2 linked regions of the Drosophila melanogaster genome follow. The protein of the gene in region 2 interacts with the protein of the main gene of each other region in a pairwise test. Each region holds a gene or a part of one and is shown on either strand. Other genes may lie near its edges.

Region 1 (6,089 bases), about 15 Mb from region 2:
CGTTGGCAATTGTTTGCATTTAATGCCCCCGGCTCAGAGCCGTAAGTACCACCCCGTGCTCTTCCAAATGCACTCGAAAAAAAGGATACTCGAATGAATGCCTTCATAAAAATATCAGTTTAATTAAATTAAATATCTTGTAGCAAATATAAAAACTAGTTGTAACTTATAATTCCCTTATTTTTCCAAAAATTTCGCATTCAATCAAAATATTATAGCACAAGTTTTTAAGTCTTTTCTTGCTTTTTCGTCAGGTGTGGGGGTAAAATTAAAAGAAGTTTACGCAATGTTTGCATAAAATGCACGCAAAAATGTCCCGTCAGCTGCTGACCATCATTTTCCGTAGGTGTTCGACGGCGACTTGTTTTTTGTTGCCGTTTTAAGTGCTTGAAATCCGTTGTGTTGACTTTATTTACCCACGCACACCCGCCGTTTGTGACCCCGCTTTGTCTTTATTTTCCATCCCCGACGCACCGCCATACCTTGGCATGTGGACGATGCTCATGCTACTCCTCCGCCTCCTCCTTCGCTCTGCTCTGGACATGTGTATGGACAACATTTGACAACAGCGTGCTTGGCCATCGGATTCCGGAAGTGCCGGTGCCCTTATTCAGCGTTTATCCGGCCACGAAGCATGCAATTACGGCCCTCTGCCAAACGGTGCGCCAGGAAATACATTTTCTCAAATTAAATATTAAATTAACGGTAAGTTAAATGCAGTGCATACATGGCGCGCCTCATCCTCCATCTTAATCCTCGGGAAATGCGGCAAACATGACGCGTCTGCTCATTGGTTACCCTCTCCATTTTTATCCCTCCATTGCAGAGCATTTGCCCGGGCATGGTAGACACGGATTTCCTTAGTGTTTACTCGCAGGCGGTAGCCGAGCTGCCCAAACTGCAGGCAAGGGATGTGGCCAAGGCCGTGTTGTATGCGCTGAACACTCCCGATGGCGTCCAGGTGGAGGACATCATCCTGCAGCAGATGCGGAAGGTCGATTGAATTTTAGTTTGAATTTCAAGAGAATTACATTTTACCCAAAACGATATTATTTGTACATTTTGTATATGTTCTTCTATGTAATAAGAGAACAAATGTACATATTTTTAAATATAAAAAATTACATTATTGCATTTCAAGCAACTGTTTCGACACTTTATATTCTTTAAGATGTTATCTGTAGATAACATCTGTATTAACATCTTATTACAAATAACATAAAAATGCAATAAAACGATAATTAAACATTTATAATATTTTGCATATTCTCTAATCGATATAACATTAAATGCGTGTAAATAGTTTGGCAACATTATGAATGCATTTATACATTCATTCATTTGAATTGGAATTGCCCGCGCATGTAGTGGAGTTGCCACCTTGCGGTAGGGCTGCCAGATTGAGTCAAAAGACCAGGGCTGTACAGCTATCGCTAGCGAGTACAACAACCACTCTTGATTTGGCTCGCTTCGCTCTAGCAGAGTTATCCACCAAAACATCGATTACTCGTGCTACCCCCAAAATCGATGGTACGAAACAAACATCGATATTTCACAGCTTTCGCTTATTGGTCACACTGGGGCTTATGATTAAAAAAAACTGAACTGACTCCAATAAAAACGTGAGGTAGAAAAAGCGAATTAGGTTGACAATTAATACACACAGCAGACGCACGGTAACCAGCCGCCAATACCGATACGAACGCGCGGCGGCAACAGCAAGTGCGCAAGTAAAAGTCCATATCAAACGCAAGCTACCCGCAGCCGCGGGCAGTTAAATTCCGAAATGCGTCCACGTAGTGCAAAATCCGAATCTCAATTCGAATTCGAATCGGAAGTCCGGATGTCTGCGCCCTTTTTATGCTTTTTTCGAGGGTGCGGCTTAGATCGGCGTGCACCTGCCGTCCAAAGTGTGATTACGAAATGTGCTCCAACGTGAAATGATATTATAAAGTATAATATAATGCATGTTACCACGTAGTTGCACACAGACAGGCAGCACACGCACACACACGCGCACACCCAGTGCCACTCACACACACACACAGACAGTGAGCGAGCGAGAGGGCAGGAGGCAGAGAAAGAATGAAATAAAGAAAGTGCTGCCCAGTTGACAAAGAACAGGTTTTAACCTAATTAACTAAATAATGGGCCCAAGTGAATGTTTCGCCGCCAGGAGGAATTTGCTTCCTTATATCCGCAAGGTCCCCGCCGCTCGAGTGTGCGTGTTGTTGTATGTGTGTCAAGGTTCCGGAAGTTGAGCCGCCGTAAAATTGATTTCCTATACACCAAGCCGCTGTTGCTGCCGCTGCTGTTGTTCTTATTGTGTTTCTGTGGCTGGACATTGAACTTGAGTCGAAATGCGCACTAACCCATTATCCATGCCATATCTCTTTTCGATCCGGCAGCCGTCTAGCCCAGCAGCTCTCTTCCCCCCACAATAAACACACACAAGCTGCTCTTGGAGCCAATCACCCGCAACCGATAGCCACACGAAACCATCAGGATGTTCATCTGGGACTGGTTCACCGGAGTGCTGGGATACCTGGGTAAGCAACGTCGCCATTGCCGACCTTGTGCCTTGGGGCGGCGTTTCTTGAACGAGTGCCAACAAGGCAGCCGCACAAAAGAAACCCAAATTCGACGGCTGTACAGCGGAGGTCGTGGTGATAGCTCTAAACGTGCGATTATCTCGAAATCTAGAGGTTAAACTGTGTCTATAAGGTGTCGAAAGCTTATAACTTTCCATTAGGTCTCTCTATCACAACAAATGCGCGTTGAATATGCATTACTCTAGGGTGCATATACAATATACACTTCTGTAAAAGGTATTTTGATTGCATAGCCATGTACTCTTCAGCCACAATTATTTAAGCAGACATTTTTGATAGGGTTTTCCTCGCTTCCAGATGGCTGCTACACTTTTATTTGCTTTGTAATGCTAAAAGTTAAAATTATTCCATACGAAAAGTACTGTTCTACAGTGCAGGCCAAACTGATAGCAGTTGTTATAAGCGCATTTTTGTTATAGCTTGATCTTTAATCAGGTTAATGATAGCCGAACATTTTGGGTAGCAAAGGTAATAATTAGCCCGAAGTCCAAGAGCTATTGTCTCGACCTCAAATGTATATTCGGCTGTCTGTGGCTGGGCAAACACAAGTGAGCCGCCACTAGTGTTAGTTTAGCTGCGTATATTAATTGATGACGCGTAAGTCAAAAGGCTATTCAACACACTTTCTCGTTTTCAGGTCTGTGGAAAAAGTCTGGCAAATTATTGTTCCTGGGCCTGGATAATGCTGGCAAAACCACACTCTTGCATATGCTCAAAGATGATAAGCTGGCGCAGCATGTGCCCACACTGCATCCAAGTGAGTTTCCTTCATGGACTAAATAGTGGTTATGTGTGTGACTTTAATTAACTAATATGATTGACTTGCAGCATCCGAGGAGCTGTCCATCGGCAACATGCGCTTCACTACATTCGACTTGGGTGGCCACACTCAGGGTAAGTGCCTAATCTTGACCAGAGCTCAGGGGAATGTGAATGTGCATCCAAATCGTTGCTATTTTCCGTACGTGCCCACGACTAAATATAGACCAGTATGCAAATATCGCAGGGCTAAGCAAGCGCAGCCGCCAGATCCACGACAATCAGCATGAAATATAGCGCATCAGGTCACCCATACAGCCAGTGCGTCTTACACTCGTAGCATTTGTTGCGATCAATCAGCGCCACACACTCGAAGCAATGCCACCACAGTGGTCACAAGCAGCTCATCCAGAGATCTCAATTATCATCTTATCTCAACTGTGATTATGAAGACCTCAGAATACTAGAATATTTAACCCATTGCATACAATCAATATGTTCATTTATGTTTAGAAAGCAATTAGTGTCTTGTTGATTTTCGCAAATACTATCTTCCTTACCACTGTGCACATATAGGCGACGTATTTATTATTAATATTATGAAGGCAAACATTCTCTATGTAGATAACAAACAGAAACGAAAAACTCGCATACATGCAGTTGATATATGTATATAAATATGAACATTATGAAAAGTGATCAAACATCGTGAAATCCAGTTGTTTTGATAACGAAGCTCTAGCACTCATTTTAAGGCAGCTCGTCATCGTGACGATCGTTTTCGCTTCGGAACTACTAGGTACACTAAAGTAGAAAGGTTCTTAGCGGCGGAAAGATATCAGATTTGTGCCTGATATCAGTGACTTGCGCTTTGTTATTCTAGCGATGTTATATAAATTACAGATTGTTGGTCAACAGCAGCGACTACTAAGGTGCCCTTGCAAATCTTGATTCAAAAATCGGAAGACTAACCCATCTAAAGACTAACTGCTGCTTTTGTATTTATGAGACATATCTACTTATTTCTGCAGCACGACGCGTCTGGAAGGACTACTTCCCTGCTGTGGACGCCATCGTTTTCTTAATAGACGCCTGGGACCGTGGCCGCTTCCAGGAGAGCAAAAACGAGCTGGATTCGCTGCTCACGGATGAGGCGCTGTCCAACTGCCCCGTGCTCATATTGGGCAACAAAATCGATAAGCCCGGCGCGGCTAGCGAGGATGAGCTGAGAAACGTGTTCGGACTGTATCAGCTAACAACCGGCAAGGTGAGCACCAAAACCACCTCCCTCCCTCCCTCCCTCCTTACTCCTGCTACATAATTGATATCCATTTGACTTGCAGGGCAAAGTTGCACGCGCCGATTTGCCCGGCCGTCCTCTGGAATTGTTCATGTGCTCCGTGCTGAAGCGACAGGGCTACGGCGAGGGTTTCCGTTGGCTGGCGCAGTATATCGATTAAGTCAGCATTAGCAACCACCACCAGCACCATATTTTCAAGAACACCACTCAACACTCAAAACCGAAAACTTGGCTACAAAATTTCCAAAAATGATTAGAGACCGCAGAAAGAACAGAACCCAAGGGATGTGAACCCAGCCCAATTCAAACCGTCAGACCTTAAGCAAAACGAAGCTGCGTGCGCAATTTCTAATTTATACAAAACAATTACAAATATTTCATAATAATAAAAAAAAAAAAACAGAAAACCATACAATGTACATCTGTAACACACAAGAAATCGCGGGAAAAACAGAACACAACATCAAAGTGAAGACAACTTTTCTATCTGGAACATCGGGATACATTGTAAGGAGCTGAAGGATGCGCGGAGTGCGCAAGGGAAACTTTTAATAATAATTATGAGTAACAAATTATAGCAAATTAAAGGTGATTTATTTAAGAGCATGTGCTTTCAACGAACGCTGTTTCGCCAATAAAATGTAGCCACCTACCTTTATTTCAAGTTTATGAATTGTAAATGTCGCTATTGATTTCCTAAATAGTTTACTTTGGCCGCAAAACATTATGTACATCCCTATAAGGATTCGACCTCCGATAAATGGTACACCTTAGTTTAGCTAAAAATTTTAAGTTGCATGTCATCGATGTACTTTGTTTCTTTTATACAATACGAAAGGGAAAGCAATTTATATAAAAAAGCATTTTTGTTTGCAGACAGAATTCTAAATAAAACGGAGAAAAGTAATTTTGTAAAATACATAAATTGGTGACTATTGTTGTTTTGCATTGGATTTATGTGCCGAGCTTGAATGAAACCCAGCGATGTACAAACATATTGGATTCATTTATTTATTTGCATTTAGGGTTTACGCTAATGAGTCACGTCCGGAGCATCTATTGAAATCAGGGAGCAGGCATTCGATGAGGGCGAGCACGGGATCCAGGAGCTGCAAACATGCTGGTCCAAGTAGAAAAATACACAAAACTCTGCAGAGTATGATCGCGACCTCAGTGCTAACTGAGCCGGCAGCGGCGGGGCAGTCCTCTCAGCAGCATCAGTTGGCGTTGAAAGAGGCGCATGAGCAAGCCCTTGCGCTTGGCCCGCTCCCTGGATCAGGAACGCGATGATCCGCCCATGGAGCCGGACCCGGAGCCGCCGCCAGCCATGCGCCGCTTCTTTTTCTTCTTGGCCGTCAGACTCTCCTGGCCGCTGTCCGTGTTGGAATCGCCGCCATCGTCGCTCTCCTCCTCCTCCG
Region 2 (5,079 bases):
TGACTTCCGCCTCGACACAGTCCTTGAGCAGTTCGTCCAGCTCGTCACTGGCGTGATCCTGCAGAGAGAAATAGTTATTTAGCTCGTCCACGCAGGAGAGCTCCAAGCTGCGCAAGTGCTCCAAGGCGGCCGGCTTGCGTTGCGAGTGTAGCTTGTGCAGCAACGTCAAGTCCGCTTCCGCTTGCACTTGGGTTAGCGGCGAGATCCTCGGATTTGGGGCAAAAACGAACGGCTTAAACACAGACTCGGCGGCATTGGGCGTCCCGGTGAACCAATGGCATGAGATTCCCTTCACCGACAGCACCGAAACGGTAGCCGCCCTCGAGCTGCTCGCATTACTGGCGGATCGCAGCGTCTCGAACATGTCGTGCTGGGTATATGTTCCATCGCCAGCTGGCTTGGGACCACACCAATCCACTGCCGGGGCCTGGGCCTCTGCATCGTGAGCAGCGGCAAAACTGGCAGCGTCATCTAATCCCTCGCTTGACTTGTTCACCACAGTGGTCACAGCCAGTCCTCCGGAGGGCAAACGCAAGAAGCTGGCCTCCAATTTCTCAGCGGCCCATACCTTGCCAGAGCAACTCACAAGCCAGGCAGCAGCTGCATCGCAAGCGATGAAGTTTAGTTTGGAGTTGTCGTGACCGTGACTGGCCACCAAAGCTCCAATCCGGTCTACAGCATCGTCCACATCTTTGGCGACAGCCAAAGTCAAGCTACAAAAAAGTTATTAGATGATTTATTATTTCATGATTTATAATAATTGTAAAAGCCTTAGTTTCTCGACAACATTAAATTTCTGATTGATTCGTTTTTAATTAACTTATGAAATAATGTTGAAATAATAGTATCTTCAAGCATTAATAAGCCCTAAAGGACACGAAAGGATTGGAATGCTAATTACAAACATCAGCCACAAAATGTCATCCTTTGAATAAGTATTTACGTTCTGCATTATATAGACTTCATATGTACATACATTTTTAGTGATGAAAGTTATTTATATTAAGTGCAAATAATTTGCTTTGTTGTGCATAGTTTGTTGATACGCAGATATTGAAAGAGAACTTACCGCACTATATCCGTGCCCAGCAGGCTGTCGCTGTCCTTGGCCTCGTTTTCACCTGCCGCCCAGGTAAGACCTAGGGCCACTCCGCGTTCATTGGCCCCGAAGTCCCCACCCCAGAGACCCGGCTGCGGTTTTTGCAATATAACACGCAACATATCGCCGCCTGTCTCGGCAGAAGCTCCACCGTCAGTCTGAAATGTGAGGTGTTTGGGTGGTGAGTCATTGATCGAGCTTCGTTTTCGGAGGAGTCTGTCTTTACCTTCCCCTCAAGCACTTCGGTGGCATCGTAGAAGCAAACCTCCGAAGCAACGTTGACGTTTTTTTCGTCCTCCGCATTGCGACCGATGATCAAAGTTCCTTCGGCACAGTTCTCGGGCAGAACAACAAAGCAGTCACCGTTGGTCATTTTTATCCGTGCTTTTCTCGCGAAGAAGTTTCTTCAGAAGTGCGCGAGGGAGTTGCAAAATTGATTTTTCCCACAGCTGTTTAAGGTTCAAACGTTATTCAACACTGCCCAATATATATCGTGGAAATGAACCGTGGCGATGAGCCGTTGACTCGTCTGGCAACATCGGACGTTATTTATTTGTTTAGTATGGAGAATTCTAAAAGAACTATAAGGATTAGGTATTTTAGTGTTCTATATATAAAATATTTCCTTATACATCTCCATTATTTAAATGACGAGCATTAATGTTGACAATACTATGATCCAACACCAATAAGAATTCGATTTACTTAAATTACAACCTTCATTTACACCATAATTAGCAGCATTGAATAAGAGAGGGAAGTTATAATGAATATCGGGTTTTCCTTTGAATCTGGAAAAATGCAGACAAGTCGCATCCCATCTCTAAGCATTTTACCCTTCTCTGATAAAGTACCCATCGCTAGAAATCTGCCCATTCGTCTGGTAACCGAGGTTTTTCTTGTTTCGGCGTTAAAATGCTCAAAAACCTGTCTGCATAGAAGGAAAACGCGGAACGTCTCGGAATTGCAAGCTTTTCGCGATATTCGGGCAATTGGAAAAACCGCGCATCCAGCAAAATTGTATCCACTAAGCTGCATTTGTATACAGAGCAGGTGGTGTTGTCTCCCTCTCGCGCCCGCACTGCTCGCTCCCGATGTGCGAGCGAAACAACAACAAACAAGTTACAAGGTGTGTGGAGTGGTGTGTGCTGCTGGTGTTGTTGTAGCTGTAGTTGTAAATACTCGCGCACACAGTGTTGTTGTTGCGCTGGTGGATGGTGTTGTTCAGCGCCTTTTTTGAGTGTTGATTATTTTACTTGCGTGCGTTTGCTACTCGTGGGCGGCTGTGAAGACTGTGAGACGCGGAAAAGTGCTGAGAAAAGCCACGAAAAGCTAGATAAACGCTAACCCACAGCTGCGGGCTGGAAACCATTTATTTAAAGTGCCAAATTGGGTAAAGAAATTTAGAAAATCAATATTCTGTGAGGGTGCTAGCGGCCAATAAGAAACCTCTGCGTGAAAATAGCAAGAAAGTCGAAAGAATTTCAAGTTTTCGATAGACCGCTCCCTGAAAAAAATAGATATTTTCTGTTTTTGTTGTGCGTTGCTTGACGACTTTGACCGCGCGCATTTTCCCCGCCGTGAAACTAGTTTCTTTTTGTTTGGTGGCACACCGCTGATGACGTTTTAAAGCCCTGCTGGCCAGTGAAATTAAAGCAATTGCCCATAAAAATCAATAAATTCAAGCCACGGGTATACACACAATTTGAAGGAAATTTAAGCAGTGCTTTAAGAGACGAGTTGCGGAAACTGGGAGAAACTACCCTCCAGTCCCCAAAAACTCCCCCGAAGGATGTTTTAAATGGGGTACATATATACATGTACACACACCCACCCGTATTCCACCCCCCAAAAGCGCGCCCCCTTTTCCGGCATTTCGTCAACATTAATGTAGCATCTCCCCGCGTGCGTGTGTATGTATCTGTTCTGCCTGACGACAGTGTGTGTTTGCTTGTGTCGAAAGTGCATTGCTCTTCATTACAAAAGCAACGTGCAGAGCGGCCTCGTTTCATATGGCCAAGTGTGTGTGATTTTACACCGTTAAGTTAGAGAACTCCAGCTAACCCGCTGTTGGCAACACGCTGGCTGCGTTTTTCTTTTTCGGCAGTTGGCAACACGCTGACCCAATAACGGTACAACTAGACCCGCACTCTCCTCCGCCGCGATCTCTCGCACAGATGCGCATGCATGAATGAAACAGAAACAGCACCCGCATGCCGTTATTATTATTATTATAATAATTGCCGTTGTTGTTGTGAAATCTCCGCGACCCACATATTTGCGTTCGATCGCACATTGGGACCAAATCGACATCCAATTGGATTCGGGGCAGGGCTGCATTTTCCTGTTTTATTTTTGGTAGCCCATTTAAATCAGGTTCAATGAACCAACACCAGCCCACGGAATGCCGCAGAAGAGAGTGTTTGTGTGTGCGTTGCCCGTTTTGTGAAAGTTAAAAATATTTGTTGTTCGTATTGCTGTGCTAAAACCTCCTATCAATATTCGGTGGCATAGCTGTTTATATTTTCGGCCGTCTTTATTTAAATGATTCGACATACATAATTAGCATGTATTATTAAGCAGCGGCAAAATTACCTTGACATTGAGAGATTATTTGTGTGTGCGTGTAAATGTTCTGCGAACGGGGCTCCATGTGCCATCTCTCTCGCTCTCGCTTCGAAGGCCAAGTTGTAAATACAAGCGCACAATTAGGTATAATATTTTATAGGGCTACTGTTTTTGTTGATGTTATTGTGGAAAAACCGAGTGCGAATGACCTTGCCAATAGACACCTGCCTCGATAGCAGCATATTATCGATAACGAGAAAGGCCGGAACCTCTATCTCAAGATCGTCGACTTCGAGCGGGGTGGAGCGGAGCTCTGATAAAAAATGTTTTATATAGACTCTACGTTCTTTAAATTATTACAAAAATGTGAAAGAAAAAAGTAAAGAGCATGCTTATTTTCTTGATAAGGAAAGCTGAACAAATAAATTTCTTATAAATTTTACTGCTAATTCCATACAAATTTGGTAAAAAGTCGTTGTTTTTATTAGAAATACTATTACAAATAAAATTCAGAAGATTCGTAAGTGCATCATACTTATGTATGTTCAACTTTTCGCTCAACTTTCAACGCTCCTCTGGTAACGTTAATTGGACCCAAATATATTGAGTTTTAAAAATCCTCTTTTTACTTAAGGAAAATTCTTATATTATATATATATATATATATATATATATATATATATATATATATATATATATATATACTTGCAGCTCCAACAAAATTCCGTCTTCATTCAATGCGAAACTGGAGCTAGACTCCAGCAAAGACGACACCATTCACTCCACAAGCTTGAACAAGAAGCTGGTCAAGATTAAAAAGTTCAAGTTGGACGATATGAAGGAGATGGTGGGCGGCTGTTGCGTTTGTTCAGACGAGCGGGGGTGGCCGGAGAACCCGCTCGTCTACTGTGACGGCCAGAACTGTACTGTGGCAGTGCACCAGGCGTGCTATGGCATTGTGACGGTTCCCACTGGACCCTGGTACTGTCGCAAGTGCGAGTCCCAGGAGCGAACCTCTCGCGTCCGATGCGAACTATGTCCCTCGCGGGATGGCGCCCTTAAGAAGACGGATAATAGCGGGTGGGCGCACGTTGTTTGCGCCCTGTACATCCCAGAGGTGCGATTTGGGAATGTGACCACCATGGAGCCCATCATATTGTCATTAATACCGCAGGAGCGGTACTCGAAGAGTAAGCTATGTTTAAATGTTTTATATTTACATATATTATTTAAAAAATGTTACTCATTGAAAAATTATAACCCCTGTTTGTTAAACTAGCCTTAGCTAAATGGCAATAATTAATTACAATCCGTTTCCATTTTCAGCTTGCTATATTTGCCAGGAAATTGGCAAACCAAATCGTGCCAATGTTGGCGCCTGTATGCAGTGCAACAAATCGAATTGCAAGCAG

The links. Proteins that work in one complex are often made in the same cells at the same time.
Region 1: the proteins of Alh (region 2) and Sar1 interact in a two-hybrid assay, tested with the Drosophila melanogaster proteins (one large-scale study listed by BioGRID).

Annotation. Positions count from the first base shown.
Region 1 is NT_033777.3:22,355,123-22,361,211, forward strand, and holds Sar1 (Secretion-associated Ras-related 1), read left to right. Parts: upstream 1-1,562; 5' UTR 1,563-1,676; exon of another isoform or gene 1,677-1,925; intron 1,926-2,394; exon of another isoform or gene 2,395-2,408; 5' UTR 2,409-2,506; coding exon 2,507-2,549; intron 2,550-3,249; coding exon 3,250-3,369; intron 3,370-3,440; coding exon 3,441-3,506; intron 3,507-4,402; coding exon 4,403-4,638; intron 4,639-4,714; coding exon 4,715-4,831; 3' UTR 4,832-5,589; downstream 5,590-6,089. Other genes in the region: rdhB (retinol dehydrogenase B), read left to right, coding at 570-705, 827-1,003; JMJD6 (jumonji domain containing 6), read right to left, coding at 5,947-6,089.
Region 2 is NT_033777.3:7,121,053-7,126,131, reverse strand, and holds the start of Alh (alhambra), read left to right. Parts: upstream 1-1,946; 5' UTR 1,947-2,193; coding exon 2,194-2,228; intron 2,229-2,393; exon of another isoform or gene 2,394-2,492; intron 2,493-4,378; coding exon 4,379-4,857; intron 4,858-4,993; coding exon 4,994-5,079. Other genes in the region: CG10098 (uncharacterized protein), read right to left, coding at 1-713, 1,070-1,257, 1,326-1,472.